4 linked regions of the Caenorhabditis elegans genome follow. The protein of the gene in region 3 interacts with the protein of the main gene of each other region in a pairwise test. Each region holds a gene or a part of one and is shown on either strand. Other genes may lie near its edges. The genes, in order: wve-1, acly-1, pbs-6 and fbxa-166.

The links.
Region 1: the proteins of pbs-6 (region 3) and wve-1 interact in a two-hybrid assay, tested with the Caenorhabditis elegans proteins (3 studies listed by BioGRID).
Region 2: the proteins of pbs-6 (region 3) and acly-1 interact in a two-hybrid assay, tested with the Caenorhabditis elegans proteins (2 studies listed by BioGRID).
Region 4: the proteins of pbs-6 (region 3) and fbxa-166 interact in a two-hybrid assay, tested with the Caenorhabditis elegans proteins (3 studies listed by BioGRID).

Annotation. Positions count from the first base shown.
Region 1 is NC_003279.8:11,922,434-11,932,307, forward strand, and holds wve-1 (Wiskott-Aldrich syndrome protein family member), read right to left. Parts: upstream 7,084-9,874; 5' UTR 7,075-7,083; coding exon 6,938-7,074; intron 6,889-6,937; coding exon 6,285-6,888; intron 5,015-6,284; coding exon 4,688-5,014; intron 3,351-4,687; coding exon 3,273-3,350; intron 3,103-3,272; coding exon 2,842-3,102; 3' UTR 2,108-2,841; downstream 1-2,107. Other genes in the region: fdps-1 (Farnesyl pyrophosphate synthase), read right to left, coding at 697-837, 1,347-1,475; R06C1.4 (RRM domain-containing protein), read left to right, coding at 8,374-8,401, 8,901-8,979, 9,055-9,202.
Region 2 is NC_003284.9:1,476,664-1,485,888, reverse strand, and holds acly-1 (putative ATP-citrate synthase), read right to left. Parts: upstream 6,348-9,225; 5' UTR 6,318-6,347; coding exon 6,279-6,317; intron 6,156-6,278; coding exon 5,754-6,155; intron 5,627-5,753; coding exon 5,169-5,626; intron 5,123-5,168; coding exon 4,654-5,122; intron 4,290-4,653; coding exon 3,825-4,289; intron 3,766-3,824; coding exon 2,962-3,765; intron 2,916-2,961; coding exon 2,616-2,915; intron 2,186-2,615; coding exon 1,802-2,185; downstream 1-1,801. Other genes in the region: D1005.4 (Activin_recp domain-containing protein), read left to right, coding at 98-217, 567-680, 840-989. UniProt on the Caenorhabditis elegans protein: Catalyzes the cleavage of citrate into oxaloacetate and acetyl-CoA, the latter serving as common substrate in multiple biochemical reactions in protein, carbohydrate and lipid metabolism.
Region 3 is NC_003281.10:8,241,399-8,246,844, forward strand, and holds pbs-6 (Proteasome subunit beta type-1), read right to left. Parts: upstream 2,695-5,446; coding exon 2,429-2,694; intron 2,384-2,428; coding exon 1,990-2,383; intron 1,942-1,989; coding exon 1,825-1,941; 3' UTR 1,724-1,824; downstream 1-1,723. Other genes in the region: Putative zinc finger protein C02F5.12, read right to left, coding at 276-632, 682-966, 1,388-1,471; cids-1 (CID domain-containing protein 1), read left to right, coding at 3,047-3,184, 3,228-3,361, 3,404-3,587, 3,635-3,879, 3,932-4,079, 4,128-4,226; putative GTP-binding protein C02F5.3, read left to right, coding at 4,493-5,163, 5,226-5,446. UniProt on the Caenorhabditis elegans protein: Non-catalytic component of the proteasome, a multicatalytic proteinase complex which is characterized by its ability to cleave peptides with Arg, Phe, Tyr, Leu, and Glu adjacent to the leaving group at neutral or slightly basic pH.
Region 4 is NC_003280.10:1,615,299-1,622,058, forward strand, and holds fbxa-166 (F-box domain-containing protein), read right to left. Parts: upstream 3,751-6,760; 5' UTR 3,707-3,750; coding exon 3,510-3,706; intron 3,276-3,509; coding exon 3,183-3,275; intron 2,555-3,182; coding exon 1,897-2,554; intron 1,845-1,896; coding exon 1,641-1,844; 3' UTR 1,531-1,640; downstream 1-1,530. Other genes in the region: fbxa-165 (F-box domain-containing protein), read right to left, coding at 1-421, 545-693, 736-819, 969-1,165; fbxa-158 (F-box domain-containing protein), read right to left, coding at 4,596-4,808, 4,870-5,557, 5,606-5,689, 5,767-5,963.

The sequences.
Region 1 (9,874 bases), on a different chromosome or scaffold from region 3:
AAGTTGATTTTTTTGAAATTATTATCCTTTATTGGCTCAACTGAACGAATTTCGTAATGACACTGCTCGAAAATCCAAATTTTTCACTAAAAATCCGAAAAAACCGATAATTTTTTGCAGTTCCTGAAATTAAAATAACCGAAAAACCGGAATTTTCTCATAAATTACCATAAAATGGCTTTTTTCCATAAATCCATAAAAGCATGTTAAAATCGGATTTTTCAATAAAATAACCAAAAAACCAAAAATTGAAGGTTTTTTCGCCAAATCACCCAAAAAGTCCAATTTTTTCACTAAAAATATATCATTTCGGTGATTTTTAGTGAAAAAAATTGGATTTTTTGATGATTTAGCGAGATTTTTAGGTTTTTGTACGGGAAAAAAACCTCCAATTTTTGGTTTTTTGGCTTTTTTTATTGAAAAATATGATTTTCACATGCTTTTTTTAATGGAAAAAGCCATTTTCTGGTAATTTATAAGAAAATTCCAATTTTTCGGTTATTCTAATTTTCAGGAACTGCAAAAAATTATTGATTTTTCGGATTTTTAGGAAAAAAAAGATTTTCTCGGTGATTTTTAATGAAAAATTGCATTTTCGAGCAGTTTCATTACGAAATTCGTTCATTTGAGCCCATTCTCCTTCAATTTAGTCGGGTTTTCTCTCAAAAAACGCCGATTTTCCATCTAAAAACTGACAATTTCAAGTGTTGCAGCAGCTTCACACACAGCTTGAAGCTCCTGAGTTTCATCTCTTAAATGAGGCTGTAAAGCCCGTATTGTGTCAACGCATAGGGATGCTCGTGAGTATTTTCCGCCGATTACAGTGTTGTCGAATAGCTGAAAATTTGGGAATTTTTGATGGAAAATACTGGATTTTTCGCCAAAAACTGACCAAAATCGTGAAAAATTGGCTTTTTTTTGGAAAATTTACTGCTTTTAGTGCAAAAAATACAGAATTTCTCTGGAAAACTGCTTTTTCCTCCGGTTTTCGGCGTATTTTTTGCTGATTTTAGTGAATTTTCAGCAGAAAATACGGAAAAATGTGCAGGAAATTCGGTATTTGGAGTCAAGTTTTGACTTTTTCTCCACTTTTTCTCCTTTTTTGGTTTTTTAGCAGAAAATTTTGAATTTTTTGATGGAAAAAACTGGATTTTTAGTTAGAAAATCAAACAAAAACTTTTTCTGCTGGTTTTAGTGCATTTTCTGCGGCGAAAAATATGAAATTTTCAACAGGAAATTCGAAATTTGGAGTGAATTTTTGACTTTTTCTCCACTTTTTTCTAGTTTTAGTGTGAAAAGTGCCATTTTTCCACGCATTTTAACCGAGAAAATCGTCTTTTCCGTACATTTCTACATCTATACTGAACCAAATCGTATTCCATTCCATCAGCAGGCAATTTTGCCGCCACAACCCGTACGAATTTCTTCTTAACTTCGCCCAACGCCGTTTCTACCAGCTTTCTACTGGCGAACATTGCTGCTGAAAATACGAGAAAATTAGAGGGAAAAATGGCAAAAAAAACTAGAGAAAATGAAAATTTAGAGCCGTTGCATCATTATTATGAAATTTCAAGCTGAAAAACCGGTTTTTGAGCAAATTTTCGCCCAATTTCGAATTTTTCAGCTGAAAACTGAGCTAAAATGAGCCAAAAAACACGATTTTCAATTGAAATTTCGAGAAAAAAAAAGCTAAAAATTGAATTTTCGAATAATTTGGGAATTTTGGAGCTCCGATGCGTAGAAAACAAATTTTTGCATGAAAAATTGCAATTTTCTGCGAAAAATCAAGAGTTTTCCAGGAAATATGTCCAAATTCCGCTGAAAATTTAAATATTTTCGTAAATTCGAGAGAAATGATGCAAATTTCATAAAAATGTGCTCCAAATTGGAAATTTCACGTTTTTTTTCCGGAAAAATCGATTTTTCACCAAAAATTGAAAATTTTAAGCGAAAATTGAAGTTTTCCTACATTTCAAAGGTTTAAATTGATTTAAATTGAAAAAAAATCGAATAAAAATTGGAAAAACTGATGAATCATAAAATTGCGAAATAATAATGAGGGGGCAGGCGACCACTTGGAAATTTAAATTTACAATTCTGGAGGGGCAAAAAATGAGAAAAATCAGTTCATTTGAAACAGGAAAGCGGAAAAAATTTTAAAAATTTTTGAATAAATAAATTAAAGCAAGGCAGTATTTACACAAGAAAATTCGAAAAAGTGTGCGTCGATTTACGCAGCTCGTGTAGTCCCCGAGGAGAAGATTTTACAGTTTTTTGGCTTAAAAATGCTTGATTTTCGCTATTTTTCTATCAAAATTAACATTTAAACCGGTTATTTATAGCGTTTTAAGTGAAATTTGAGCGATTTTAAAGTTTTCACCGACAAAAAAAAACCGTGAAAATAGCGAAAATGGCTCAAAATCAACCATTTTAGCAAAAAAAAGTACTTGATTTTGAGCCATTTTCGCAATGTTCACGGTTTTTTTTTTGGCAAAAATCAATGAATTATTTTTATTTTTAACTTTAAAAACACTCAGATTTCACTTAAAAGTGCATAAATAACCGCTTTGAATGTTAATTTTCAAGTAAAAATAGCGAAAATCAAGAATTTCAGCGAAAAATCGTTTTTTTTTTCACCGAAAAAATCAGTAAAAATGCAAAAATGGGTAATAATGCTTGATTTAGAGCTATTTTCACGGGTTTTTCGCTTAAAAATCACCGCTTTGAATGTTAATTTTCAAGGAAAAAATAGCGAAAATCAAGCATTTTTAGCCAAAATCTGTAGAATCTTCTCCTCGAGGAGTACACGAGATCTGCGTAAATCGACACAAAAGAGAGCAATTAATCATCCCATTCATCATCATCAGCTCCTTCTTCACTACTTGAATCATCATTTCCCATAACTTGATCCATTCGTCTCTTCAATATCGCCGCAACATTATTCGCCTCGAGAGCAGCATTCTCGGCGGCTTCTGCCTCGGCTCTTTGCACTTTTTTCAGCTTTATTCCAGATTGAATTTGAGCCAAAAGATCACTTCGAGCATCTGGTTGTTTTGGAGCAACTGGGGAATTTGTGCCAGCAGCTTCACCGTCCGCGGATGGCTGAAAATTTCAGTTTTAGTGGGAGAAAATCGATTTTTTGATGAAAATTCGGCTATTTCTCTTGAAATTTGTCCCTAAAAAAGCTTCAAAAAAGTCCAAAAAACACAGGAAAACTACACATTTTCAGCGGGTTAGACACACATAGAGCCCTGCTGTTCCAGCGCCTTTACCTTTGGAGCCGGAGCTGCAAATGACGCTGCAGCCGAGCTTATAACCATTGGAGGTGGTGGTGGAGGTGGTGGAGGGATCTGAAAGGGATCGAGAATTGAAGAAAGAAGCGGAAAGTGGACAACAATGAGGGAAACACAAAAATGGACAAAAATTGCAAATTTTTAACTGAAAAATTCGGGGTTTTAAGCTTGGAAATTGCAGAAATATAGCTTCAAATTAATTTTATGCACTACAAGAAATCTTGGAGCTTTTCACAAATTTCCAAGCTTTTCCAAGCTGTTTCAAGCTTTTTAAGCTCATCGAAGATATTTCAAGCTCAGTCAGGCTTTTTTAGCTTTTCCAGGCTTTCGCAAGCTTTTTCGAGCTCGTCTAAGCTTTTTGACGCCTTTTCCAAGCTCTTTCAGGCTTTACAAGCTGTTTCAAGCTCGCACGAGCATTTTGAAGTTTTTCCAGGCTTTTTTAAGCTCTGTAAGCTTTTCGAAGCCACTATCGTTCTCTTTCAAGCTGTTTCAAGCTGTTTAAGCTCATCGAAGCTATTTCAAGCTCAGTCAGGCTTTTTCAAGCTTTGTCAAGCTTGTTCAAGCTCCTCCAAGCTTTTTCAAGGCGTTTCCAAGCTTTTTCAGGCTTTTCCCAACTCTTTCAGGCTTGCTCAAGCTTGGTCAAGCTTGTTCAAGCTCCTCCAAGCTTTTCCAGGTTTTTCCAGGCTTTTTCAAACTATTATAAGCTCGTTAAGCTCATTCAAGCTATTTCAAGCTCTGTCAGGCTTTTCCAAGCCTTTTCAAGCTATTACAAGTTCGTTTAAGCTCTACAAGCTTTTCCAGGCTTTTTCTTGCTCTTTCAAGCTTTTCCAAGCTTGTTCAAGCTTTCTTAAGCGTTTTGGAATCTTTTCCTGTCTTTTGCAGGCCTTTTCAAGCCTTTTCCAGGGTTTTCCAAACGTTTTCAAGCCATTTCAAGGTTCTCCAAGCTTGTTCACTATTTTTTCAAGCTCTTTAAGCTTCTCCAAGCTAGTTCAAGCTCTGTCAGGCTTTCCAAACTTGTTCAAGCTTTATCGTTCTCTTTCAAGTTCTTCCAAGCTAGTTCAAGCTCTGTCAGGCTTTTCCAAGCTTTTCCAAACGGTTTCAAGCCGTTTCAAGCCTTTCTAATAGAGTTCAACCAATTTTTCGTGATTTCGTGGCCCAAATGAACAAATTAAAGCGAAAAAGCGAGATTTTGCCTGAAAAAGGCTTAAGGCTTCTAAACGCTCATAATAACTTAGAATAATAGAGACTTTTCACATTTTCTAGTTTTTTCAAGCTTTTCCAAGCTTTTTCGTCGTGAAAACGGACAATTTAAAGCAAAAACGCAAGCTTTTTTCCTCGCAAAAACCAAGATTTTACTCCAAAATCTCCAAATTCTCTCGAGCTCCAAAACGTACATTAGTCGGCGGAGCAGCACTCGGCTCGACAAACTGTATCGTCGACGGAGCTTCTGCTGGTAACTGATGTACAATTGATGTATTCATGAGAAGCGGTGGTGGTGGTGGTGGAAGATCATCATCATCATCATCAATCGATAAAATTGACATATCCGGTGGTGGGAGGTGATCCAGATTCACTGGCGGCGGAGCTTCAGTCGGACGTTTAACATTCGGAGATCCACGAGCTGCTGCTGGAGCACCACCTCGTTGTTGGCTCGGATGCACATTTTGTTGAGGATGATGGTGCATTGTCATTCCGATTGGGGCAACCATGTTGGAGGGGTGCTGAATTTATCAAAAATTGGGAGATTTTCAGTGGAAAAAATCGTTTTTTTCTTCAAAATTACTCCCAGAGAAGGATATTTGGGCTTAATTATCGATTTTTCAGAGTTTTTTTGTCATTTGGAGCATGAAATTTCTTAAAAATTCACTGAAAACTTCCAAAAAACTCGAGTTTTCAGCCTCAAAGACAAGCCAAAATCAATGAAAAACGTTTTTCAACAGAAATGTTTCACTTTTTCACTAAAAATATGCTGAAATTGATAAGTTTTTTTGGAAAAATCCCTAGAAACCGTACAAATTAATTATAAAAACCCTATAAAATCGAATTTTTCAACGAAATCCTCTAGAATCCATAACTTTTCAGCTTCAAAATTATTTGTTCCCATTGAAACTTTCGACTTTATAGGATTTTTATAGTTAATTTGTAGGGTTTCTAGCGATTTTTCCAAAAAAAAAATTATCAATTTTCGCATATTTTTAATGAAAAAGTGGCACTTTTCTGTTGAAAAATTATTTTTTCTAAGGAATTTCCCACTAATTTCATTGATTTTCGCTTGTTTTTCGGTGAAAACTCGGCTTTTTGGAAGTTTCTAGTGAATTTTTATGAAATTTCAAGCCCCAAATGGCTAAAAAACCCAAATATTGGCCCAAAATAGAGAATTTTTGCCTTCTCGGGGAGCACAAGAGCTGTGTAAGCGCTGAAATCTCGTTGAAAAGTTGATTTTCTTTTTAAACAATAGAAAATTCACTTTTTCAGCAAAAAACTCGATTTTTTTTCAAATTTTTGGGCTCAATTATCGATTTTTTCCGATTTTCAACGGTAAAAAATCATTTGAAGCGGAAAAGCTGGGACTTCGTTGAAAAATTCGATTTCATAGTTTTTTTGAAGTTAATTTGTAGGGTTTCTAGCGATTTTTCCAAAAACTTATCAATCTTCGCAGATTTTAATGAAAAAGTGACTTTTTCTCATTGATTTTGGCTTGTTTTTTGGCGAAAAAGTGCATTTTTAGGAAATTTCATGCTCCAAATTACTGGAAACCCATAATTTTGCCCCAAAATAGAACATTTTGGCCTGCTCGGGGAGCACAAGAGCTGTGTAAGCGCTGAAATCTCGTTGAAAAGTTGATTTTCTTTTTAAACAATAGAAAATTCACTTTTTCAGCAAAAAACTCGATTTTTTTCAAATTTTTGGGCTCAATTATCGATTTTTTCCGATTTTCAACGGTTTGGAGATTTTCTCTTCAAAAAATCGAAAAATCTCGCGAAAATCTACCTGATTTTTAAAGTTAAGCTGAAGCCCGAGAGCCTGCGGAGCCTGATATTCCTCCGGGAACGAGAAAACTTCATTCTGCTGATTAATCCGTGATCCACTAATCTGTCGATTCCTATGCTGCATATCATTATAGGCCGTCGTGCCGAGAGGGCCTTGTCCAGGCTGCTTCCGCCGCTTTTTCGGGCTTTTACTCCCGTCGTTCGGGCTTTTTACCCGTCTGGGCCGTTCGGCAACCTCTTTTAGTGTCTCCTTTTTCCATAAATCGAAGAAAAACGAGGGATTTGTGTAGAGAGAGAGCGCAGGGATTTCAGAGTCTCTATACGGATTTAGAGCATCAAGATCCGGCGGTGGATCACATTTTGCATATATTTCAGTCAATGCTGTAGGTAAAGTGCTTCTATCCAGAATATGTTGATCTACAAGCATTGAACTTTTGAATGCTTTTCGCATATTCGCTTCATTCAACGTTGCTTGATCGGAATTTGAATCCAAATCTTCAACTTTCTTGTGCAATCTATCAATTCTCTGTTGAAGAGTGTTCGATTTGTGATTTATTATCATTGCGTCGTGATAAATCTCTCCGAAGATGTTCTCAGCGTGCTTACTGCAAAAAAAAATCGATAAAATTCCAGTTTTCCGACCTAATTTCCCACCTCAACGAGCTCAATTGTCGTACTAAATTGGCGATTGTCCCATTAGCAGTACATTGAAGCTCATCACGATGGATTGTTGATGGAATTGTGCCTCTGCTGAGGTTTACCGGTGATACCGCCCGTTTTGTTAGAGGCATTGCTGAAAATGTGCAGAAATTGCGGGATTATGTGGGTGGAAATTGCGAGAAAGCGTTAGAATTCACAGAAGATGACTTGAAATCGAAAAAAAATCACTTTCTTCCCTGAATAATATGTAAAAATCCATGGATTTAATGGAAATTGGCACGAAAATCGTGAAAAAAATTAGTTAAACATAAAAATTCACTGGAAACTTCATAAAAGCGAGCAGCCAAAATCAATGAAATTAGTTGGAAAATTCCACGAAAAACTCTAATGTTAATGGTAAACACGAAAATGCACTGGAAAAATTATAAAATTGAGTTTTTTAAACAGAAAAGCCACTTTTTTAATAAAATTATGCTGAAATTGGTAACTTTACCGGGAAAAATCGCTAGAAAACATATAAAATTGCTTCATTTACATGCTAAACCCACAAATTCACTGAAAAACTTATAAAACCTAATTTTCCAACGAAATATCATAAAATACATAGTTTTTCAGCTTCAAAATTATTATTTCTGTCAGAAAATGTTTTTTTTCATCGGAAAAACTGCAAAAAACGAGGAAAAACCAATAAAATCTCATGTTTTTCAATTAAAATATCATTAATCCAGAAATGCGCCAAGGTGCACCCGGGATGCGTCAGCAAACACTCACGAGAAGTGCGCAAGCGAGCGTCTGCACTCTCTCGAATACATACAGTGTCTCGCTGTGATTCATCGGAAATATTTTCATTTCCGGAAATGTTTTATATTTATTTAAATATTAATTTTTTTCGGTCTAAAAAATGATATACAAAACAAAAAATCGATACAGGAAAATGCGAAAATAGAATGAGATTGAAATTTCAATATTTACTGTTCAAAATATTCAAAATATCGTGAAATGGCGAGGTTTCGGAGAGATGGTCCTTTTTATTTATCAATGAAATTGTTCTAATTCTGAGAAAAATAACAAAATATAGCTAAATTCTCAATTTTCGCCAACTTGGTTGTGTCACAGAAGCTAAAATTCATTTCGAATACCGAGCCCGTACAGTAGTCATTTAAAGAATTACTGTAGTTTTCGCTACGAGGTATATTTCGCGTCAAATTTGTTACGTAATAAGCATTTCACTTTCCCAACAATTGCCGATTTCTTCTCCAAAATATCCCTCCCGTAAACCTACACAAAATCGACCGTAGTGCGGCACGTTCGCTGCGAGACCCGCCGCGCGTTTGGCCTCAATCTTTTTAGGACTGCCAAATTCGATCGAACATTTTTAGTCTGTCTTCCACGCGGAAACACACTCGTTTTTCTTCAAAAAAAAATCTATCATGGCTTCCCAAGGATTCTCCGTCTACGGTAAGTATAGTAATAAATCGGTGGTGAAAATTAAATTTAAATTTGTACAAATTTTGAATATGATACAAAATTCTCAAAACTTCTGAAACTTTCTCACACTTTTCTTCGATGAACTTTTCTTCGACTTGCAGAAAGTATCGATTTCTGATAATTGTTAGCGTTTTCCGATCGGCCTTCGTTCTCTATGGTTCATTCGTGTTCCTTGACAACAAATCCCGATATTTCAGGTAGTCCCCTTCCACGTGTATAAGTATAACTGAGTCTACTAACTGAGTACCCGGGACCCCACACGGATCGCCACACAATTCTGGAAATGGAGACGCCGTTCGACCACAAAAAGTATGGGTGAAGAGACTTTTCGCACTGTCATGGTCTCCGTAGTCTAGGACTAGGATAGGGTGCATTTGCTCTGTAACAGTGCATTGTGAGAGTTTGTAACTTTCTATATATAGGCCAAAACCTACTATTACCCCCGTTTTGCTAATCGATTTTTTTCTAGTTGGAAACGTTCCATACCAAGGAACTGAGGAGGAGATCGGAAACTACTTCGCCGCCGTCGGACATGTTAACAACGTCAGGTAAGAGAACTCAGAAACTCAGAAACTCGGAAACTTTCGATTAAAACCTTGTCAAAACTAATCAATGTCTTCCAGAATCGTGTACGATCGTGAAACCGGACGCCCACGCGGTTTCGCATTCGTCGAGTTCTCCGAGGAAGCCGGAGCTCAAAGAGCCGTCGAACAACTTAACGGAGTTGCCTTCAATGGACGCAACCTTCGTGTCAACTACGCCAACAAGTAAACTGACAACGCCGCCGAGTGACTCAAAGAGATTGCACTTGTGATATACATTCCACCAAAAATTCTATCTTCGTGCATGTTTTTCACCATCTACACTTAAATAATAAATCTTTTTGAAAACTGAAAACTTCGAGCATTTTTTCACAGAGTGCAGGTTTACGGCTCAGTCTTAGGCTTAGGCTTAGGCTTAAGCATAGGCTGGGGCTCAGGCTTCGGCTTTTAGACCTAAAAAAAGATCGTTGCACCATGAGCAAAGTATTATAAAGAAAATTGACTTCAAAGAAACTGACACGTGGTGTCAAAGTGTCCCATTTTGGTTTGATCTTCGAAAAATGAGGGAAAAGAGACGCAGACTTTTCAACTGACGTCACACTTTCCTGGGGAGAAAATTCCCGCATTTTTTGTAGATCAAACCGCAATGAGACAGCCTGACTCCACAGATCCCATCTGAAAACTCATGAATTTAAATAATGATGCATACTTTTACTCTGTTCTGGCTTTGCATCACTTTGAGAGCCTTTTCAAGCTTTTCAGATAAATATTTCCTTGATTGTGCTTGCCTACGAGCCTACGTGCATACACAGAGATTTCGTTCGTACTTTTCTGATTACATCTCGGGATCCGCGGGAGTACTCCACTACTTTACGAGAGAGACCATAGGCTTATCCGTGCT
Region 2 (9,225 bases), on a different chromosome or scaffold from region 3:
ATCACAAAACCTGAAAATTTGCATTTCACATGACGAAAGCACAGTTTCCAATGCTTTTCACTGATAAAGCAACAGTTGCACACTTTTGAATTTTATGATGCCTACTTATTTCTTATTTATATCGATTTTTATTACCTTTATTATACCGGTAGCTTCGATACAGTGCTGGGCATTTTCACAAATGGATTATGAAGGCAAGACGCATACAGTCGGTAAGGTAAGGAAAATGAAAAGTTGTTTGAAAAAATAATTAATTTTGAACATTTATATTACTATAAAAAATGTATTAACTAAATTGAGTTGTTGTTGGTCAGTGCAATTGTTGAAAAAAACGTTTACTTCATTACTCTTTTTATTCAATTTTGAGAGGGACCTCTACCAATTCATAAATCACAAGTTCAAGCTCCCCTAAATCTATCCAGCCTTAATCTGGAAGTGGAGCATTAGAGGACTGGATTATAGGCCTTGGTCCCCGGCTTGAACAAGGCTTAAACTGAAACAAGTGCCACCAGAAAACTGAAACGGGCTCCAACCTTTCAATCATAACTATAACAATGAAATTTCAGACAGCTATCACCTGCAATGGCCTTTATTGTTTGACGCTTTCTGAGCAAGCATCTTATTTCACAGTGTTCAATGGAACGTGTCCCGATCCGACAGTGTCTATTACAAATTGTGATGTAAGTTTTTAATAGCACATATTATTTTGAGTTTTCAAATGTGTTCAGCGTTGGTTAAGTAATTTTGCTCATTTGATCTTAGCTAACTTTAGTAAAAATTCAAGCCAAAAGCGTTTTCAAAACTGCTGAGAGGTCTACAAAAAATATAATAAGTTTCAGACCAACGGAGTGAGCTGTCAAAAGGAAAAGCTTGGTGATGTTGATGTTAAAGCGTGTTGCTGTAATTACGATTTCTGCAATTTATCAGGACAGAGCTTTACTACTTTTTCAGCAATATATGTTTTTTGCATGTTCTTTTTCCTATTTTGAAAATTTAAATAATAAAAAATTGACAAAATAAAAAGTCAATTTTCAGAGCCTCTCGTTTAAACCTTTCCATAATTTTTAAGCCTGAAAATCCAATTTCCAGATGAGGCCTGTTTAAGGCCTATGTTAAGACTAGGTCACCACAAAAATTTCAGGGACAGAATTCAGCTCTGAACCCCTAAAATTACCGTTGGAAAGTGTTTCGGTTCATTTTTGTACTAGGTTCAAAACTCAAGAAATTGCGATTGAGATGGTTTTTTCATTTAAAAAATAAGAGTTTTTTTTTCATTAAAACAATCTAAAAATACATATTTCGGCCGAAATTTTTGGGTAAAAACCTGTATTTTAAACCTTTTTTTAGTTATATAAGTTTTTGAACACAAAAGAAAGCTAAAAAAAAAGGCCCGTGCTAAATTTTTTTGGCTTAGCATTTCTTAAGTTCCAGAAAATTCCATACTATACCATGCTTTATTGTCTAAGCTGAATAAATATCATCAAATTCAAGAAAAATACATTTTTGTAAGCTAAAAAGTAAAGCTCATGGGGTGCAATATTAAAGTTGAGAGTAGAGTACGGGAAATAAATTAATGAACAAGTTGAGAAAAAAAACCTTGTGAAATTATTGCTTGGTTGGGGGGAGATAGGGGACTTTTAGGGTACAGTGATTAGAAAAAATTGGAATGCTTCAGTTGCTTGGTCCAGGAGAATGTTGAAGGGTTGCGGAATTTACTGAAAATTGTTCATAATTATCATTGAAATTAGATATGAATTTTTTTGAAACTTGGTCAGTGCGTAAAACCTTAAGCAATTTATATTCAAAACTTTACCAAGTTGCTCTCCGGCATAATGTAGGAAATATCATCCCATGGATGACGGTACAATCCCTGCTTCAGACGCGACTGATCCAAGTAGTGACCGATAAATCCAATAGATCTACCCAAAACGAAAAGCCCATTGAGCGATCCAATCTCGATTGTCTCCTCGGCCTCCTGCTTGGTGAACATGCCACTGTGGCGAAGGATATCGACGAATAAGATCGCAATCGCTCCGTCCACGTTGAGAATGAGGTTCGGTTTTTTGGCGGTCGTGATCTTCTCGACCTCAAGAGCATACTCGAACAACGGCGTCTCCTGGGCAAACTCCTTCTTGTCCATGGCAAATCTTTTCAGAATCTCCACACGTTTGTCAGGGTTGTTGATCTGGAAATTGACAATATTTGAGCTCTTCGGTATTAGACGTTCTATTTAGAGTACCGACTTGGATTACGCTAATTCTGACAATACTGACACTTGGTGGGTGTCAGAGTATCACGTCTCGGTTTGATGGTACACGTCAGAGTGTCCCATTTTAGTTTGATCTACGTAGATCTACAAAAAATGCGGGAGTTGAGAAAAACGTGCTGACGTCACATTTTTTTTGGACCCAAATTTTCCGCATGTTTTGTAGATCAAGACAACTTGACACCACGTAATGGTAAAATTTCCTGGGCACGTTGTTCCCGCAATTCTCAGAGATCAAACCGAGATGGGACACTATGTTTCTAAAATGAATCACTGTAGTACACTACTACAGTAACTACAGTGAGACATTTGTAAGGGTACTCAAAACCATTTTAGTCTCTACACTTACACTCTTCACACGATGTCCAATTCCCATAATATGCTTTCCCTTCTTTCTCATCTCGCTGACAAACTGATTCGCCGACCATCCTTGATCAAAAGCCTCAGAGAACTGACGAGCGGCTCCATCGAGGGCACCTCCGAAGCGATCACCAATGGTGAGTAGACCAGACGTGAGCGAAGAGATCAGATCTTTTCCAGCACGAGCACACACAATAGTGTTATGGGCTCCCGACACAGCTGGTCCGTGATCGGCGGTGAGCATCAAGCAGATCTCGATAAATTTGTTGGCATGTGGTGGGAGACGCTTCTGAAATGTATTATTAGTGGTGCTGAAAACAGGTCTCAATTCCCACCTGGAACCACAACAATCCCAACACTCCACCGATTCCCATATCCGACTCCAAAACCTTTGTAATCGGTACTCCCGCATAGTTCAACTCTTCTCCTCTCTCATCACAAATTGAGGTCATGAAGGAAGCTGGTTTTCTAATGAGTCCCAGTTCACGAGCCCACGCGTAATCCATCGGCACCGCTGGAGGTGGAACTTCTGGCTGTGGAACGATGATTTGTTGGCTGACAAGTTCGTCGTACGTCTGACGGATTTTGTTGCCAAGATCGTCAAATGACTCGGGGACAAGGGCACCTGAAGCACGGAGAGCAGCATTTTTGCAGGCAGCGGTTTCTCCGAGAGCATTTGCAGATGCTCCAGCGTGACCGAATTGAACCTCCGATGTGATGTGATCTGCACAGGTTCCGATGCACCATGCGACCAATGGCTTTGTCACCTTCTTCTGCTTGAGGAGATCCACAATTTTGTACTCTTCAACTCCACCGACCTCACCGAGAAGAACAATCATCTTCACACGATCATCATTTTGATAGCGAATCACGTGATCAGTGTACGTGCTTCCCGGATAGCGGTCACCTCCAATTGCAATACCTTCATAGACTCCGTTAGTGTTTTGTGAAATGATATTGTTAAGCTCATTGGACATTCCTCCGGAGCGAGATACATAGGCGACACTTCCAGGGCGGTAGAGCTTTGAGGCAAGGATGTTGTCCATCATTCCACCGGTGTTTCCAATCTTAAAGCATCCCGGCTTGATACCTCCGACGGTGGCTGGCCCAACAAGGGTGACTCCACGGTCATGAGCAATCTGAAAACAAGCATAATTAGAATCAGAATACTTCTATTTCCGGTGGGGGAAAACTTTACCTTCAACAGCTTTCTAGTCTGATTCTCAGGGACACCTTCAGCAATGATCGCAATAACCTTGATTTGTGGGAACTCGAGCGCCTCGAGAACAGTCTCAAATACAGATCTCATCGAGGCAAAAGTGACCATGATAGAAGCATCCGGATGAGTTGCAAAAGCCTTCGCCATCGACTTATAGGCTGGAATGAGAATTTCCTTTTGCCCAAAGTAGTACTTCTGCTTGTTGTCCCCAGTGAACGGGTAGGTGGACGCGACAACCGACGGGGAGCTTCTTCTGCAGACATAGTCAAAGTCCAGCATTCCTTGAATAGCCTTAGCCTGTTGTCCCCAGATGATGGCCTTGGTGTCGTCCTCGAAGAGTCCACGGAAGCTTTTCAGTTTGTTCTGTTGGGCAGTGGTGAGTGGGTGCTCAGTTGGAGTGGCGTTGGCTGCTGGCGAAGGTGGAGCTCTCTCAGTGCCTCCGGTCTGAAAAATGATAGATTTGAATTGTAGAAAAATGGATTCTTCAAGTTCACTAGATCTGAATGCACAGGGCATTTTCGATTTTTCACTAGGCCCTAAGTGAGCCCGCTTGTGGCTGGCCTATGTTTCCCGCTTCGCACCAACAAACGTGGTGTCAAAGTGTCCCATTTCAATTTGATCTACGTAGATCTACGAAAATGGCGGGAATTTAGACGCATACTTCTCAACTGGATTCGCATGACTCAAAGCTTGCTGACGTCCCATTTTTTCGGGAAAAAAATTCCCGCACTTTTTTGCAGATCAAACCGTAATGAAACAGCATGACACCTCGCACCAACGTAGCTAGTTTTTGGTCCTAAAAACCTACATTTCTCTCAGGGCTCAACAAAAACTGTCCGGTAGTCTGTGGAGCTGTCGGAACTGTTGGCATTGGCTTCACTCCGAGCGCTGCTCCAACAATCGCCGTCATATGAGTCTCAGGTCCGAATACATGAATTGGCAGCTCCAACTTTGTCGCAGCATCCTTGATTCTTCTGAGTCCCTCCTGGTAGTTTGGGCCTCCGCGACGCACGAAAATTGTCACCTTGTGCTCTTTGAGCTTTGAGACAAACGTTTCAAAGGCTCTGACGATTCCACCAAAAGTTTTAGCAACATTTGTGAAGTTGGCGATGGATCCTCCGATGATGAGGACTTTTCCATCAGGTCTCGGAGTACCTTCGGTCATCACGGAGAGGAGTGTCTTTGCGTATTCATAGGTTTGCGATTCAGACGGGTCTCCAGAGTATTCTCCGTAGTTGGCGAGTTCTGATGCTCCACCGAGGTCACAGACAGTGTCGCTGAAACAAATATGGCTAGACTTTAAATTCTATATTTTAGACTCACGTAAACACAACTGAAGCTCCACCACCAGCCACCATCGTCCAAACTCTTCCCTTTCTGTTCAAAATCGTCAGCTTCAAGGAAGCTCCCGTCTTCGCATCCATCTCCGAAATGTACTGCTCCTCTGACGTCAAATCACGTCCAAACGGAGCTGGGAACTCCACGTGGTTCGGTCCTCCATATGGTGTCAGACGGCTCTTCCACTTGTCTGCGCACAAGAAATTGGCGGTTTCATCAAGCCTAGCTGCCAAATCCAAAACATGAATCTGGTTGTTCAAAAGGACAAATGGATTAATCTCGAGATACGTGAAATGTAGGTCCTTGTAGGCTTTGTAGAGCTCTACCACAAATCTTCTGACAATGTCACTGTCCTTGAGTGGGCCCAGGAGGGTGGTGAGCTCTTCATCCGAGGGGGTCATGGCATTCTCGTTGAGCTGGACGGGGACGGATACAGTGCGAGCCTGGAAATACTCTCAGTAATTGGGAAATTGCAAAGGTTGAGTTTTTTTAAATGAAAATGATCCTATTTTACAAAAATGATAACTGCGGAGCAATTTGAATCCAAAAAAAAATTTCCGGGAAACTAACCTTTTCCTCAACATCTCCAATATCTACACCTCCTTGCTCATAGAACATGATGACGTCACGAAATCTCTCACTGTAGATCGCAATGTACATCTCATCCTTTTCAGTGTGTGCACAAAATGGCTCGACAATAAAAGTGTGAAGCCGTCCCTCGGTTTGACCAACTCTCACATAACTGTCACCAGTTTTCTCGAACCATGCCTTCAACTCTTGTGGTGTTCCAATCTTGACCAAACCCAGCTTTCCACGTCTTTTGATCAACTGGTCGGGCTTGATGACTCCCTTGTTATCACGTGCGAGCCACTCGTACTTGTTTGCAATTTCGTCAAAATTTTCGCCAGCCTTCACGTGAAACGCATGTGGAGCTGAGAGGAGTCCGCTTGGCTCGAAGTATTTGTAGAGAACCTGGAATAAAATTTAGATTGTTTTGTTGAGAATTTGTTAAAAATGTCAAATTGCAAGAAGTTTGGTGGGATCATTCTATTTTTAAATTAAAATTTTTTTTTCCAGTTGGAAATTTGCACTCACTTCTTTTCCAGATAACTCGCTCACAGCCTTCGCCGACATTGTTCACTTGTTCCAAAGAGAACGAGTTACCTGAAAGAAATTCAGAATTAGGAGGGAATACTAAAAAGCGTATGCCACGTAGCATAAAAAATTAAAAAAAATTCCACAAGAAGGAAAAAAGGAACTCAGAAAAAAACAAGAGAGGAATAAGTGTTTTGAGGCGAACGCAGGCGGTCAAAGGAAATTTGAGTAAACAACACGTTTTTCTGCTCCGCGAAGTCTGCGTCTCTAGCTTCTCCGGATTTCGCAATGTTAAGTTATTAATATTTTTGCATCAGATTTTTGAAACAATTACACAAAGTGTTCGAAAACGAATGTCTCTTTTATACCAATTTTTGAGCAAAAGTGCATTCACAAAAGGGCACTAACCAAAAAATTCAAAAAAATAGAAGAAAATTAGCTCGGGAAAGTGCAAAACACTGGAAGAGTTTTGTGTTTGGATTTTTAAAATGGGTCTGTCTTAGGTGTTAAGCTTAGGCATAGATTTAGGCTTAGGATTAGGCTCAGGCTGAGGCTAAGGCTTTGGCATAGGTTTAGGCTTAGGATTAGGCTCATGCTTAGATCTAGGAGCTCCAACAAAAAACTTAGAAAACGTGATTTTCCATTTTATTTTTGTTTTCTCAGTCTAAGAAAACAAGACCAAACGGAGAAATGCGAGAAAAGCGGCATGGAAATCAGAAACCTTTTGGGATTCAACTTTAGCTTCTCGCTCTCCGTTTTCTCCATCCCATCTATCCCCGTTTTTTCCAAAAAGAAAAGAGTTGCGGGGGCTTCTTTTTTTAAAAAAGGAAGAAAAAAAACGACTAAAAAGAAGAAAAACGTGACGTTCTGTGTTGGAGAAAAGGAAGAGAAGCAATTGAATATTCAGAATGGAGAATATTTTTCGGGGCTTGGCGGGTAGGGAAAAAAGTTTTCTTAAGTTTCTGAAGAAAGTGGACGGGTTAAAGCATTGGCTTAGGAAAGGATCACTTATAAAAGTTATAAACAAAGGAAATTATTGTGGTCAGTGCAAAAAAAAATGGTCAGTGCAAAAATTATAATGGTCAGTGCAAACATTTTTTGTCAGTGCAAACATTTTTCATCTGTGCAAAAAATTCTATTAAGTAATATCGAAAATAAATATTTCTGAACGATTTTGGATTTTGGATTTTTTTAGTAAATTTCTAACTGAACTAATCTATTTTCAATGCAAAAGTCTAGTTTAAAATTGCATCAGCTTTTCCTGTTTTACAAAAAAAACTACATATTATCAGTTACTTTCTAGGCTCCTGACCTTTCCACCACTCATTTATAGGAGTGGTCAGTCTTAAGATGGTGTGATGGTCTGTTAGCTACACGTGTATCACCTATCTCCTTATCACCGTATTTTAGAAAATGCCGCTAAAAACTTGTGCAAAAACGAAAACATGTGCGTTTCTCGTGGTGTTCCCACTTTTTTTCTCGCTGAGGTTCACCCGAAAATATGGTGCGATTCGAATTCTTATCACAACATGCTGAAGATAAATTGATAACGACTGATAAGGAAAATAAATTTGGAGAGATACGGATGTACCCGAACGACAGTGATCAATGGAGAAGGCGGCTACAAAATCCTACTTGAGAATTGGAAAAAAATTGGTTGTTTGTATATTTAAAATTTAAATTTTTTTGCCAAAATTTTGAAAGTCTGCCAAAATTTCGAACGTTTCTAAAAAATTTCGAAAAAAAATGCCAAAAGTTTTGAAATGTTTCTTTTTTAATTATAATAAATTGCCTAACTTTCTGAAAATTAAAAAAAAAACATGCCGAAACTTTCGAAACCTTTTTGAAAAAGAGTCTGTGAAAAATACCAAAATTTTTGGAATTGGAAAATCTATATGGGGATGATTTTTGCGTCTTAAAATTTAGTGTTATTTTTGTTGAAACTGATGGTAAAAAAAATCATTCGAAAATACAAAACTTTACATCAATATTTCTTTTTTTTTTCTTCAAAAATCCAAACATTTTAAGTTTTTTGGCATGTTTTTAGCCTACTACTTAGACTACAATAGTAGCTAAAAATCAAGAAAAAAATCCCGAAAACGTTCTTGTCGGGTACACTTTCTGGGTAGACGGAAAATGGATAAGGATTCGAGAGAGGACGGTCAGAAGAGGAAAAGGAGGCGAAGGAGGAGGAGGCCAACGTATTGAGGTCATGGACGAAATGGATAAAACTGGCGTGGAAGAAAACGGAGGAAAAGAGGAAAAGATTTGGGGTAGTGGAACTGGGTAGCAAGATTTTTATAGATATTTTAGGAGTTTTCAAAATGAAAAAAAAAAGAAAATTGTATTAATTTTACGAGAATTTGTTTAAAAAAAATCACGTTCAAAAACGAATAACTTTTGGGTAAATTTGTGGAAAGCTTTTATATAAAAATTTTCTTTTCAAAAAACATTTGTAACTCCAAAGCCTATAACAAATTATTCAAAATAGGGAAATTTTGAATTTAAAATTAAAATTAGCCTCCGATGTTGTGTGCACCATGTTTTTCAGAAAAACGAGAGCTTTTAGAAATTAACGTACTACATTCAAGTTCAAGCTTAAAATAAAATTATTCGAAACGCAAAATTTATCGAAAAGTTTCTGAAAATGTTGAAAATTCAGCAGGTTTTATACAATCACCAGGCCAATTAATTGTCATCATTTACGTGAATCTTGCTAGAAAATTAGGTGGTGGAATTTTGTGGAAATTTAGTTTAAATTTGTCGTTGTAAAGTGGAAAGAATCGAGATAAACACATGGTTTACTGGATTTTTCATTATTTTCTGTTCTAAAATTTATATCAATCATGATCAGTCATTTGCAAAATTCGGCAAAATCGGGACAAAAATCTTTAAAAATCAATGACCCAGACTAAACTATAATTCTCAGGAGCCGAACAAAAATTTT
Region 3 (5,446 bases):
GAGCAGAGACCTTGGGCATTTTCATAGGTGCCTTAATCATGCCTGTCTACATAATGCCTAACTCATGCCTTTTTGTAATTCTTTGGAAGTATACCTAAACATGACTCATGTTTGCTTCAAGCCTGCCTACCTAATACATACCACCAACCTCCATTCTTTTTTGTTCCTACCTACACATGCATCATTCCTGCTTGTATGCCTACCTCAAACCTTCCTGTCTCATACCTGTCTACTCCATGCCTACCTACATGTTCTAGAAGCTCAAGCCAACTCACCGGAAAGTTGCAAGTAATTACATAGTTCGCATGTGAACTTTCCAATTCTTCTCCTAATCCCTTTTTTAGACCTTTTAGCAAACTTGCTTCTTCATTCTTTATCTTGCTTTCAGTAAACATTTGTTGACGAAGAAGATCTTCAATTATATTTCTTTCTTGTTCATTTGCCTGTTCAGAATCATTTAATGAGAAACTTGATGATCCTGAAGTTTGATCTAGTATCTCTTCAGACTCATCTAAAACTTCTTTCTTTGGAACTTTCAACGCGCTTGATGGATCCGATGGAATGTCTGATGATGTTCCGGGAATATCTAAATTTGCAGTGGGATCCCAGTCATCAAATAATCCTTTTAGAACCTGAATTAGTTTTTAATAAACCAATAAATTCCCAATTTTTCCAACTTACAGATGCTGGTCTCTTTCCTCTGCTCATCGCATCTGAATCTCGTGGCTTCAAACCCAGAGTATCGACTAAATTCAATGGTTGAGCAAATCCAAGTTCAGCGGAAATGCTTTTAAATGGTTTTTTGAGAACATTTTGTGATTGTGCAGATATAGATTCTAGACATTTTGGAGATGAAACTAGTTGTGGGGCACATGAGGTTGGTGGAGTTGCCGGTTTTTGAATTTTCTGTGCAGGAGGATGAATTGGAACTTCTGTCACCCACGAATCCGGACAACCAATCGTTTTCTTTAAATATATTTTATTTGGAGGTTTCATTAAATGCAATTTACCAAAAAGTTGACTCAAAATTTATAAACAATTTGAAATTTTAACGTGTTTTCGCTTTTCTAGGCAATTGTAGTGCCTTGGTGCTTTGATTAGTTCAGTTTGTGGAACATCAAAGTGAGTAAGTAGTTTGAGCCACTGGGGATTTTGTAAACACATTAGCTTAAAAGTACTATTCCTAATTTAGAGTTGTTTCCTACAGTAATATCATTCCAAAATTACAATTTTATAAAATACAGTATTTATGATTTTTGATCGACCATTACATAAAGAATAACCTGTCATATTATTTTTATTGCCAAAATAATTATTACTCAAGTTTTTCTAATCTCGGGAATATTTATATAATTAGAAGCTAAATGTTGCCAAAAGCTTGACCTACCAAAATAGATTGCAAATCGAGTCCTCGCATTTTGAGAACTTCCAAAGTTTGATTGTAGATGTTAACTTGAATATAAGTTGACATTTTTCAGTAAATACCAACTTGTCGAGTTGCAAAGCAGGAATGAATCAATGACACAGCTGGGCAGACCACAAAGTAAGAGACTCGAAACGCAGACGGTTCTAAGCAGCGCCGACTCACTCCTTCTTTTGCATTATATCTTGTGTCTCACTCGTGCGTTCTTGCCCTGTGTGTTTTCGCTCTCTGCATTTTTCTCTCTATTTTGTAGTTTGCGTTGGACGCCGAAATGTAGTCATGTTGTAGACTACAACATATAAGTGGAGGAATATTTATCAGATTACCGGGATGGTAAAACAATTTCAGAGGGGAAGAGGATACGAATAAGTTAAAATAAAATGAGATAGATACTGCAATAATTAATCCTCACGAAGTGGCAGGAACTTTACGACGACTGGCTTTCCGGCTTCAGCGATGACCAAGTGAATTTTGTCTCCAGTAGAGATTTCACGCTCAGCAGCACCACGGAACGAATCCTAGAAAAAATAAATGAATTAGGTTAAAATTACGAAATTCAATTATACCTTCATCAATGAGATGGCTCTGTCCAATGTGAGTTCCGGACGCTCATATCCTTCAGAGAGCGTAACGTGCCCGATTTGACAATCCAAGAATGGAATGATCATTGGTTCAGCGGCTCCACTGGCTGAGTATCCAAGACGCTCGATACATCCGATTGGGTCGTAACTGAACACGGCCCCTTTTCCGTGCTCGTCAATTCCGGCAAGAATAGCTCCAGTGTAGTATGGGAAGAACCGACGGTAATAGAGGTTGCGGGAGAGAAGTTCTGCGCAAAGATCCACAGACATGTCAGAGCGATAATCGAAGCGGTACTTGTGGAGACGAGATTGGAGAACTTTCTTCAATTGGAGGACATCTCCATAGAATCCAGAGGTGGTGAGGATGATGTTATCATTCCTGAATTAAGAATTATTATTAAAACAAAGACAAATACTGGCTTACAAAATTTGAATCTTCTCTGCGTCACGTGTAAGAATGTTGATGTCGTTTTGGGTCATTCTAGTATCACTTGCCACGATGGCAAAGTTCTCCCCAGAAATGGCACAGGTTGATCCTCCCTCCATTGAATACGGGTTCCAGCGTTGACGCTCAATTTGTCTGGAACTCATCCACTCTGGATGAGCTGCAACTTCCTTCATTGCCTGCTTGAACATTGCCATTTCATTGGTGGCGTTGGCGACAGCCGTGATTCCAGTGAAGCTTGTCATCTGAAAAAGGCGTATACTTATTTAGTTGAAACAATATAAATATTCAATATGACAAAATTCAATTAATACAGAAAACAAATGCTCGAAATTTGAGAATTCAACATAACAGGAAATGCTGACAATGAGAGACATCGTCATTTACAATGTTTAGTCCGCAGTTTTCTGCGCGTTCAAATGCACATCGCACATCGAACTATACGACACTTTGCTGAAATTTATTGAAACGCGTTTTCCTCTCTTTTTTGAATGAAAATTCATTTTTCCAAGGTATTTTTGAGGACAATTCATCGCTTTATCTACATTTCTGATTAAAATTTTTGTGATTTCTTTTTTTCAATAATTGATATTTCAGATGGCAGATTTCACAGAGCAAACTTTGCGACAGAAGTTAACAAATTTATCAAACCACCCTTCCTCAATTCAGACGACTTCTGCCTGGCTTTTGCAAAATCATAGCAATCGGGAATTGATCATTCGAGTTTGGCTAAAGGTATTTTATTCATATTGTATCATTTTTTAGTGTTGTATTTCAGACAGTAAAGAAAGAAACACACGGCTCAAAAATTGTAAATCTTCTTTATGTGGCGAATGATGTAAGCCAAAATGCGAGAAAGACTTGCCCACAATTCAAGGACGAATTTTTTCCCGCAATAGAAAGTTCTTTCAGGTATTGGCATTTTCAAACGTCTAATCTCAAAATTAATTTCAGGCATGCAATCGAGTTGAAAAATGCAAAAGAAGTGGAACATGCAATTGGTAAACTGATCAATGTATGGAAAGATCGTCAGATATTCACTCCATCACAATGCAAACGGCTTCATGAAGTTCATCAACAAGTTAAGCTATCTGGAAGCTTCCCAACACCCGCAGTTGCGAACAAGGAACATGGAAAGGTGTGTGAATTTAATAAATTCCAAAAGAATGCCAAAATGAGCTTAAGGTCGCTCAACCTAGTCAGTTCGTCGTTGAAGAAGCGAAAAAGAATGCACAAGATGTTTTGCTCAGTTTGAAGCGCCTTCAAAACCCGCCGAGCACGGAAAGAGAAATTCGCACAGAACTTTCAAAATATCCGGATAATATTTCGTGCCCAGAAAAGTTGCAGTCAGTTCGAAGTTCGCAAGAAGCACAGTCTCTGTTGGTCCAAAATGAAGAAGCTCTTCCGATGCTGGAGGAATATGTTAAAAGGTTTGATTGAAACTTTTGTGAATTGATTTTGTACATTAACTTATGCTTTCAGGCTGAAAAACGAGACAAATGAACGCGAAACTCTCGAATCGAACTTGAATATGCTTATAGAAAATGTTAGAATGAGCATTGAACATCACGAGAAATTGTGCAGAGAAGTTAAGCGTAGAGAAGATCGAATCAAGGCAGATTTGTTAGAGGTTTGAAAACTAGAAAATCAGTTTTTGCAGACTTGAATTGAATTTCAGGTTGAAAAAACATTCGAATCGTTGCCAGATTTGGCTGCTGAGATGCCAAATGCACCATTGCCAACACTTGAAGCTTTGTTCGAGAAGAGGAAAAAATAAGTATCATACTACGTCATAATTATAACTTTACGATCTCAGTAGCTTTTACTGTACCCCCATTGTTGTATAATTTTTGTTCACTTTGATCTTTTACAATCGTGATCACCATTACCACATAAGTGCTTTATACGTTTTTCTTCTGAACCACCTTAAATGAATTTATTTTTTCTAAAATTCAAGTTAGTTCTATTATCTGAAAACGGTTCTTAACCAGTGTTTATCTCTGAAAGTTTGAAATTAATTGTTTAAAAGCTGATATTTTACAGATGGGTATTCTGGAGAAAATTGCAGAAATCGAACATGAAATTTCAAGAACCCAAAAGAATAAAGCCACTGAATACCATTTGGGTCTTCTAAAAGCAAAGTTGGCAAAATATCGTCAACAATTGTTAGAACCAACAGGCAAAGGAGGTGCCAAAGGAGAAGGATTCGATGTAATGAAAAGTGGAGATGCGAGAGTTGCAATGGTTGGATTTCCTTCCGTCGGAAAATCGACTCTATTGTCCTCAATGACTTCCACTCACTCAGAAGCTGCTGGATATGAATTCACAACTCTTACGTGCATTCCTGGTGTCATCTCTTACAACGGAGCCAATATTCAATTGCTCGATCTTCCTGGAATCATTGAAGGAGCTTCTCAGGGAAAAGGAAGAGGAAGACAGGTTATCTCAGTTGCAAAAACTGCAGATTTAATTCTTATGATGCTTGATGCAGGAAAGAGTGACCAACAGAAGATGCTTTTGGAGCGAGAATTAGAAGCTGTTGGTATTCGATTAAACAAAAAGCCACCAAATATCTATGTCAAACAAAAGAAAGTTGGAGGCGTGAAATTCACAAATACTGTTCCGTTAACTCATTGTAATGAGAAATTGATTATGACAGTATTGCACGAGTACAAGATTTTCAATGCTGACGTTATTTTCCGCGAGGATTGCACGTATGTTTTTTTTTAATTATCACTGAGCAGAAGTCCCAAATTGATATATTTATTAATTACAGAGTCGATGAGTTTATTGATGTAATTCAAGGAAATCGTGTATACATGACGTGCCTCTATGTCTACAATAAAGTCGATCAAATTTCGATTGAAGAAATTGATCGATTAGCTAGAATGCCTCATCACGTCGTTATTTCATGTGAAATGAACCTCAATATGGACTACCTTTTAGAGAAAATGTGGGAATATTTGGCATTAGTGAGAGTCTACACGAAGAAACCTG
Region 4 (6,760 bases), on a different chromosome or scaffold from region 3:
AATTTTCTAGCGTTCTTCCATTGTTCCAGGCCAACCAGCTGCTCATATCCATCAGTCCTGGCCCCTTGTTTGAAATTAATTTCTTCCAGTTTTCCAGCATGGAAAATGGGCAAGAGTTGGGCAATTTCTGCTAATGAATTGTAGTGTGCTTCCACGGTTCTTGTGGAGCTTTTTGCAGACTTGAAAGCTATCTCGGCTCTGTCAATGAATTTCTTTTGAGTGTCTTGATTAGATCCATTCGAAAACTGGAATTTCTTCAATTGAACATTTTGATTCTCCATAATCAATTTGAGATCCTTGACGCCTAGCTCTATATAGTCCTCGTCAGTCACAAAAAATTCTTTTCTGTTGTCTTCATCGCTCGTGCGAATTCTGCGACCACACGTGCAAGTTGGTTCTTGACGAAACGGCGAGTACTGAGCTACAAAAAATTAAAATAAATTTTATTTTGGCATTGTGCTTGTTTTCTGATATTATGTAGAGTTCCGTTTCTTGTACCCATTTTCAGCCGGTGCCCTATAATTAAAATTTAGATCTCCACAACCTGTATCATTTGGCCGATATTTGATTTTGTGGCGCGAATTATAGGTGATCGCTAAATGTTCATCGAAATCCACTTCAATACAATCAAACACCATTTTCATATTTTGAACGACTTTTCGAAAGTTTCGTGATACTTTCATCAGGACCAATCTGAAAATTTTTCACTGAACACATTATTGAAAAAAGTCTTACAAATTAAGAATTTCCATGCGGTTTAAAACTTCGTCAATTATGTTGAGGGGCATGTTTGACAGCAAAGGTGAAGCTGGATCTGCGCTGAAAAATTTCTAATTTGAGGTCAGTACTCTTGTTAGGGGTCTTGTAAGAAACTATAACAGACAATGTGGGTGAAAAGTCGCGGAAAAACTGCATTTTCATCCAATAGCAATAGGTCCTGCTTTTCTATAACATTTCTTTTTAAATACCTTCTATCGTAGTGCAAGTCATGGTTTCCGTTGTAAAATCGATAGAACCAGAAATCGAAGTCATTATATGACATGACGTCATTTCCAACATTTCTACAGAAGTTTTCGTAAGACTCCTGAATCGGTTTCTTGTTGAGAACTTCGTAGAGAATACATCCTCGAATAACAAGCTCATTTTCGCCAAGAACAACTGACATTTGGAATTATTACCTGAAAATTTTTCAGAAGAGGAAATAAGAGAATATTCAGACCAAAAACGAAAAAAAAATTGAAATGAAGTTACTATTTTGCCCGGAAAATGTTTACCGGTTGGGGAGCATTTGCTTTAAAGAAATTGAGTTTAACACTGATAAAAATGTATGATTTCTCAATTCTTCTCAAAATATTTCATTGAACTAGACACAGCGAAAATGAGAGAAACATGTGTTGTTTAAGAGTGAGGAAAAAATATTCTTCTGATAATACATAGCGCTCCTATGGAACTCCATGTAATGCAGAATGGTTTAAAATTCGAGCTTGTTTCGGGTGTTGTAGGATTTTTGATTTTTGAAGATTCTGATTCTTAGAATGCCAAAAGATAACCTTTATTCTGTGAAAATTAAAAAAAAAACATCAGTTATTCAATCTGGAAATTGAGAATAGCTAGAAAAAAATTATTATAATTTAGAGCTATTAGTAGTAGTGGAATTTGTAACCAGACTTTGTAATTTGGAGCTCATTCGAATAGAATCTAACATTGAAATATCTTTGGTCTGGAGTTTGGTAAACGATATTGTGCTCAGTATTGTAGACATCGAAGACTCCCATCAGTGTTCTGATGTTCATACTTTTGAAATGAAGTCTAGCATAACAGAAGTGGGCTGATCTATCGATCATCTGAAAAGATATAGGGTCGCTGAATTAAAAAAAAATGCTAGAAATTACTCACATCACGAAGCTTCACTGCATCATCTTCTGTGAATACCGATAAATAAACTATGAAAGTCTCAAAATGCAAAAAGTGCTCAATCGGAACATTCAAATCCCTCATTCCATCAAATTTTCTAGCATTCTTCCATTGTTCCAGGCTGACCAGCTGTTCACTTCCTATCGTTCCATCTCCAGTGAATCTAATTTCTTCCACATTTTTAGCAGGGAAGATAGCCATCAATTGTGCGAGTTCTAGTAGGTAACCACCAGTTGTTTCCACTGTTCTCGACGTCAAGCTTTTTGCAGTCTTCAGAGCTTCTTCGACGCGCTTCATGCACTTCTCACGGAATTCTTTTGTAGCTACAGCGATTATGGCAAATCGGAATGTTTTCAAATGAACCATCCGATTTTCCATCAACAACTTGAGATCCTTGATGCATAGTTCTACGTAATCCTCGTCAGTCACATTGATTTCTTTTTTTCTGCTGTCGCTACTGGCTCTATTATCTGAATAGGACACAGTACAACCCTGATCCTTCTTCTCATACTTGATAATATAGCGATCATTAAAAATAAGCCTCGAACAAGACTCTCCTTCATAAAACTGTACAACAAGTGAATCAAGCACAACTTTCCGTTTTTGAGCAACACTTTGCGACACTTTCATTAGATTTAATCTGAAAGTTCATTTCATTTCATTTTTTTTTCCTTTCCTCTCTCAATGCCGGTCTATTTTTTCCTCTCTTTGTCGGACTCGTGAGGGTCCCGACCTTATTATTGTTTTGATTAACTTTGATTAAACAATAAAATCACTTGTGGGTCATCCTCAAGGCAATTTAAAAAAAAAAAAAAAGTATTCCATTAAAGGTGAAGTAGTGCCAGTGGGGAAATTGTTAAAAACCACTCTTATAGTCCCAAAATGACCGAATATCATAATAAAACTATTCAAAAAATTTTTGAAATTTTTTTATGTACGGTCAAAAAGTGGCAATTACTCAGTTTTTGCCACTCATAATTTTGGAAGTCGACCAAAAAAAAAAGGTTTTTTCTAAATTTTTAATATTATAATTTTGATTTAATTATTTGTATCAAGACATTGTAGGGGTCGAAACATGTGACATTGCTTTGCCTTTCCTCAAAAGCTCATATTTTTTAATATTTTGGCACTTTGCCAAAACTTTGACCGGAAATTATGAAAAATCTAAACAATTTTGGAGTGTTTTACTATGATATTCGGTTGTTTGGGATCATTATAAGTGCATTTAGACAAAATCCACCTTTGAAGATTTTTCTCAAAATTCTTACAATTCGACGATGTCCACTTGGGTCCCGATTTCGCTGATCTCTGTTTTTTCGGATTTCGGCATCTCCGGCAAAGACTTTGGAACTTGATTGACGCTGAAAAATTATAATTTGAAGTTAGTTAGACAGTGTCAATCGGTTAAGGAAGGGAATAATTTAATTACTATAACTTGTTCCATTCCGTCCTCTTCTTGAATTGCTTGAATTGTGCTAAAAAAAACTGAAAAACTGGGCCCGCTAAATGTCTGCCGCTTCATATTTTTCGTAACAGTTTCAGCAATTTTTTTATGATTTCGTTATGAAATTCCAAAGAAAATATTCCAAACATACCTTCTATCGTAGTCCAAATCATGATTTCCGTTGCTAAATCGATCGTACCAGAATTCAAAATCAGAAAATCCCATGACGCCATTTCCAACTCTCGTACAGAAATTGTAGTAGGACAATTGGATCGGGTTTTTGCCGAGTGCTTCGTAGAGAATACATGCTCGGATAGTGAGCTCACTTTGGCGGAGAGATGCAGACATTTTGAGCTAGTACCTGAGGTTTTGAAGTTTTCTGGAAGCAAAAAAATTGAAATGAAATGGCAATGTGTGCCCACAGCTACATAAAACATTAAATGTTTCGGATTGTTTGCATCATAAAAATTAATTTCGACACTGATAAGTTAACTATTCAACAATCATAAAGAATTTTGACCAAAAATTGTCAAAAATCGGTGTCAGCTTTAGAAGTTGTATGCACTGGGTTAATAAACGAACAACTGTAGTGAATAAATTTCCTATATTCTTTAATGACCAAATATCATAGTGAAAAAATTAAAAAAATTTTATATGATTTTTTGAAAATTGAAAAAATCTCGAATCGCATCAAATTCCTATTTGAATTACCGCCAATAGTTCGATGTTCGATGCATTATTTTAACTTTTATTTATTATTTATCTTGAATTTTTCATCAAATTTCTAGTAAAATTACTCAAAAAAAAAAAATGAAAAATCAAACAAAAATAAGACAAATTAATAAATAAAAGTTAAAATAATGCAAGCGCGCTCCATCGAACATCGAACTATTGGCGGTAATTTAAATAGGAATTTGATGCACTTCGAGATTTTTTCAATTTTCAAAAAATCATATAAAATTTAGAAATTTTTTTTAAATTTTTTTACTATGATATTTGGTCATTGTGGTACCATAGGCATGTTTTAAAGCAATTTCCCCACTGGCGCTACTCCATCTTTAAGAACACGGATATTTACTGCTTCAATGCAGTCAGTAAGAATTATTTCGATATTATGGATTCGCTTAACAAAACAATAATTTTTTTGAGAAAAGATTATAAAACAAAAATGAATCATATATTGTGAAAAAATAGGTGTAAAAGCATATAAAAAATTGAAAAATACAGAGATAGTCTTTCAGAGCCAATCGTTGTAATCGTATCTGTAGCTCAACTTTGTGATTCGGAACAAATAACTATAAATTTTAACATTGAAAAATCTTTTATCCGGAGTTTCGTATGCGAAGTTTTGGTTCTGATTGTGCGCAGCGAAGACTCTCATCAGTTCGCTGATGTTCATATCCTTAGAGCGAATCTCAGCATGACCAAAGTGAGTGGATCTATCGATCATCTGAAAATTATTGTATCACTTTGACAACAGCTCACAGATAGATTTGAGTAAAAAAACTCACATCACGAATTTTCATCGCATCACTTTCTGTGAATGTTGCCAGGCAAACTTCAAACCACTCGAAATGCAAAAAGTGCTCTATTGGAACACTCAGCTTCCCATCTGCGTCAAATTTTCTAGCATTTTTCCATTGATCCAAGCTGACCAGCTGCTCAAATCCGGTATCTTTCTCTCCAGCAAAATATATTTCTTCCAGTGTTTCAGCTGGAAAGAAAGCCACTAGTTGTGCAAGTTCTGAAAACGAAAAAGGCCATATTCTCACAGTTCTTGACGTTAAGCTTTTCGCAGATTTGAGGGCTTCCACAATGCCGTTCATGCATTTTTCACAGAGTTCTTTTCCAGTTCCAAAAGTGAATTCAATTGTTTCCAATTGAATTTTTCGATTTTCCAGCAAACACTTGAGATCCTTGTTAAATAGCTCTAAATAGTCTTTGCCAGGCACAAATATTTCTTTTTTGTTGCTCCTTTCGTCATATTCTTCCAAGAAATAATCATCTTCGTTGACATAACTGTCAAAATAGATTACCGTACAACCGCCACCCTTAGGCTCATACGTGATAATGAAGCGGTCGTTATAAACAATCTTCGCATTCTTTCCTTCAAAAAAGCGTACCCCAATCGAATCAACCACATCTACTTTGGCTTGAACAACGCTCCGTAAGTTTCGTGACACTTTCATCATGACCAATCTGAAAATGTTCCACTGAATGCTTCGAAAATGTTTGTTAAATTCTCACAAATCCATAATATCCAGGTGGGCCAAGATTTCGCTGATAATGTTGAGCGGCATGTTCGGCAAGGACTTTGGAACTGGATCGGCGCTGGAAAAATTTATCCAATAGAAAATCATTAATTTACTACAATGTTTTCCATGATAAAAAATCTTTTGAAAAATTACCTTCTATCGTAGAGCAAGTCATGATTTCCGTGGTAGAATCGATAGAACCAGAAATCAAAATCATATTGTGTCATGACGTCATTGCCAACTTTTTTACAGAAATTATCGTAAGACTCCTGAATTGGTTTTTTGTCAAGTGCTTCGTAGAGAATAAACGCTCGAATTACGAACTTATTTTCTCGAAAAGATAATGACATTTCAAACTATCACCTGAAAATTTAAAACTTTTAATAAGCAAAAGAAATCTCAGAAAAAAAGTGGTAATCAAAAATGTAGTACCGTATTTTCTCCATTTGTTTTGTACCCGACTATTTTGCTTTGAAAGGTTAAATTTCGCTTCATTTAAATCTATCAACTGCAATTGTATAGAAAAATGAAGCAAATGTCAGTTGACAATTATTTAAAAAAAGAAACGACAACTGAAATATCAGCTGTCAAATTTGAACAATCGGGTGCAATACTAATAAAAATATACAGCACCTATTTTGCTCAGAACTGTTTTGGAGCAAGATGATAACAAAACGCTACATTTCGAAACAGATAACAAAGTATGATTTCACAACTCTGACAACTTAGTTCAACGGAGACAGATAGAAAAAGAGTAAGGGAAGTATTTTAACTCGACTAAAGCAAAAAAAAAAACTACTTTATCGATCAATGGGTGTTTTGGAGAATTCAAATTAAAAATACAAAAAAATAGACAGTGAGTATTCAGTGGAAGGTAGAAAATAATCCAACAAACGCAACAACCAAGCAAAGGTTCGTAGCATTCTTTTTTCCATTCCACCATAATTTTGATTGCAAAACTCTCAGAACGAGCTCTGACTCTAAATCAACAGAAAAATGATAAAAACCATTGTACATATGGCAAAGCAGTTGTACATATGGCAATGCGCTATTATCAGTCAGGTGTAAACGAGAAAAAAGTTGCCTTCCTCACTCTTAATCAGAAACAATTCCAGGCAGCAATTGTTTCTCTCATTCTCTCGATCTC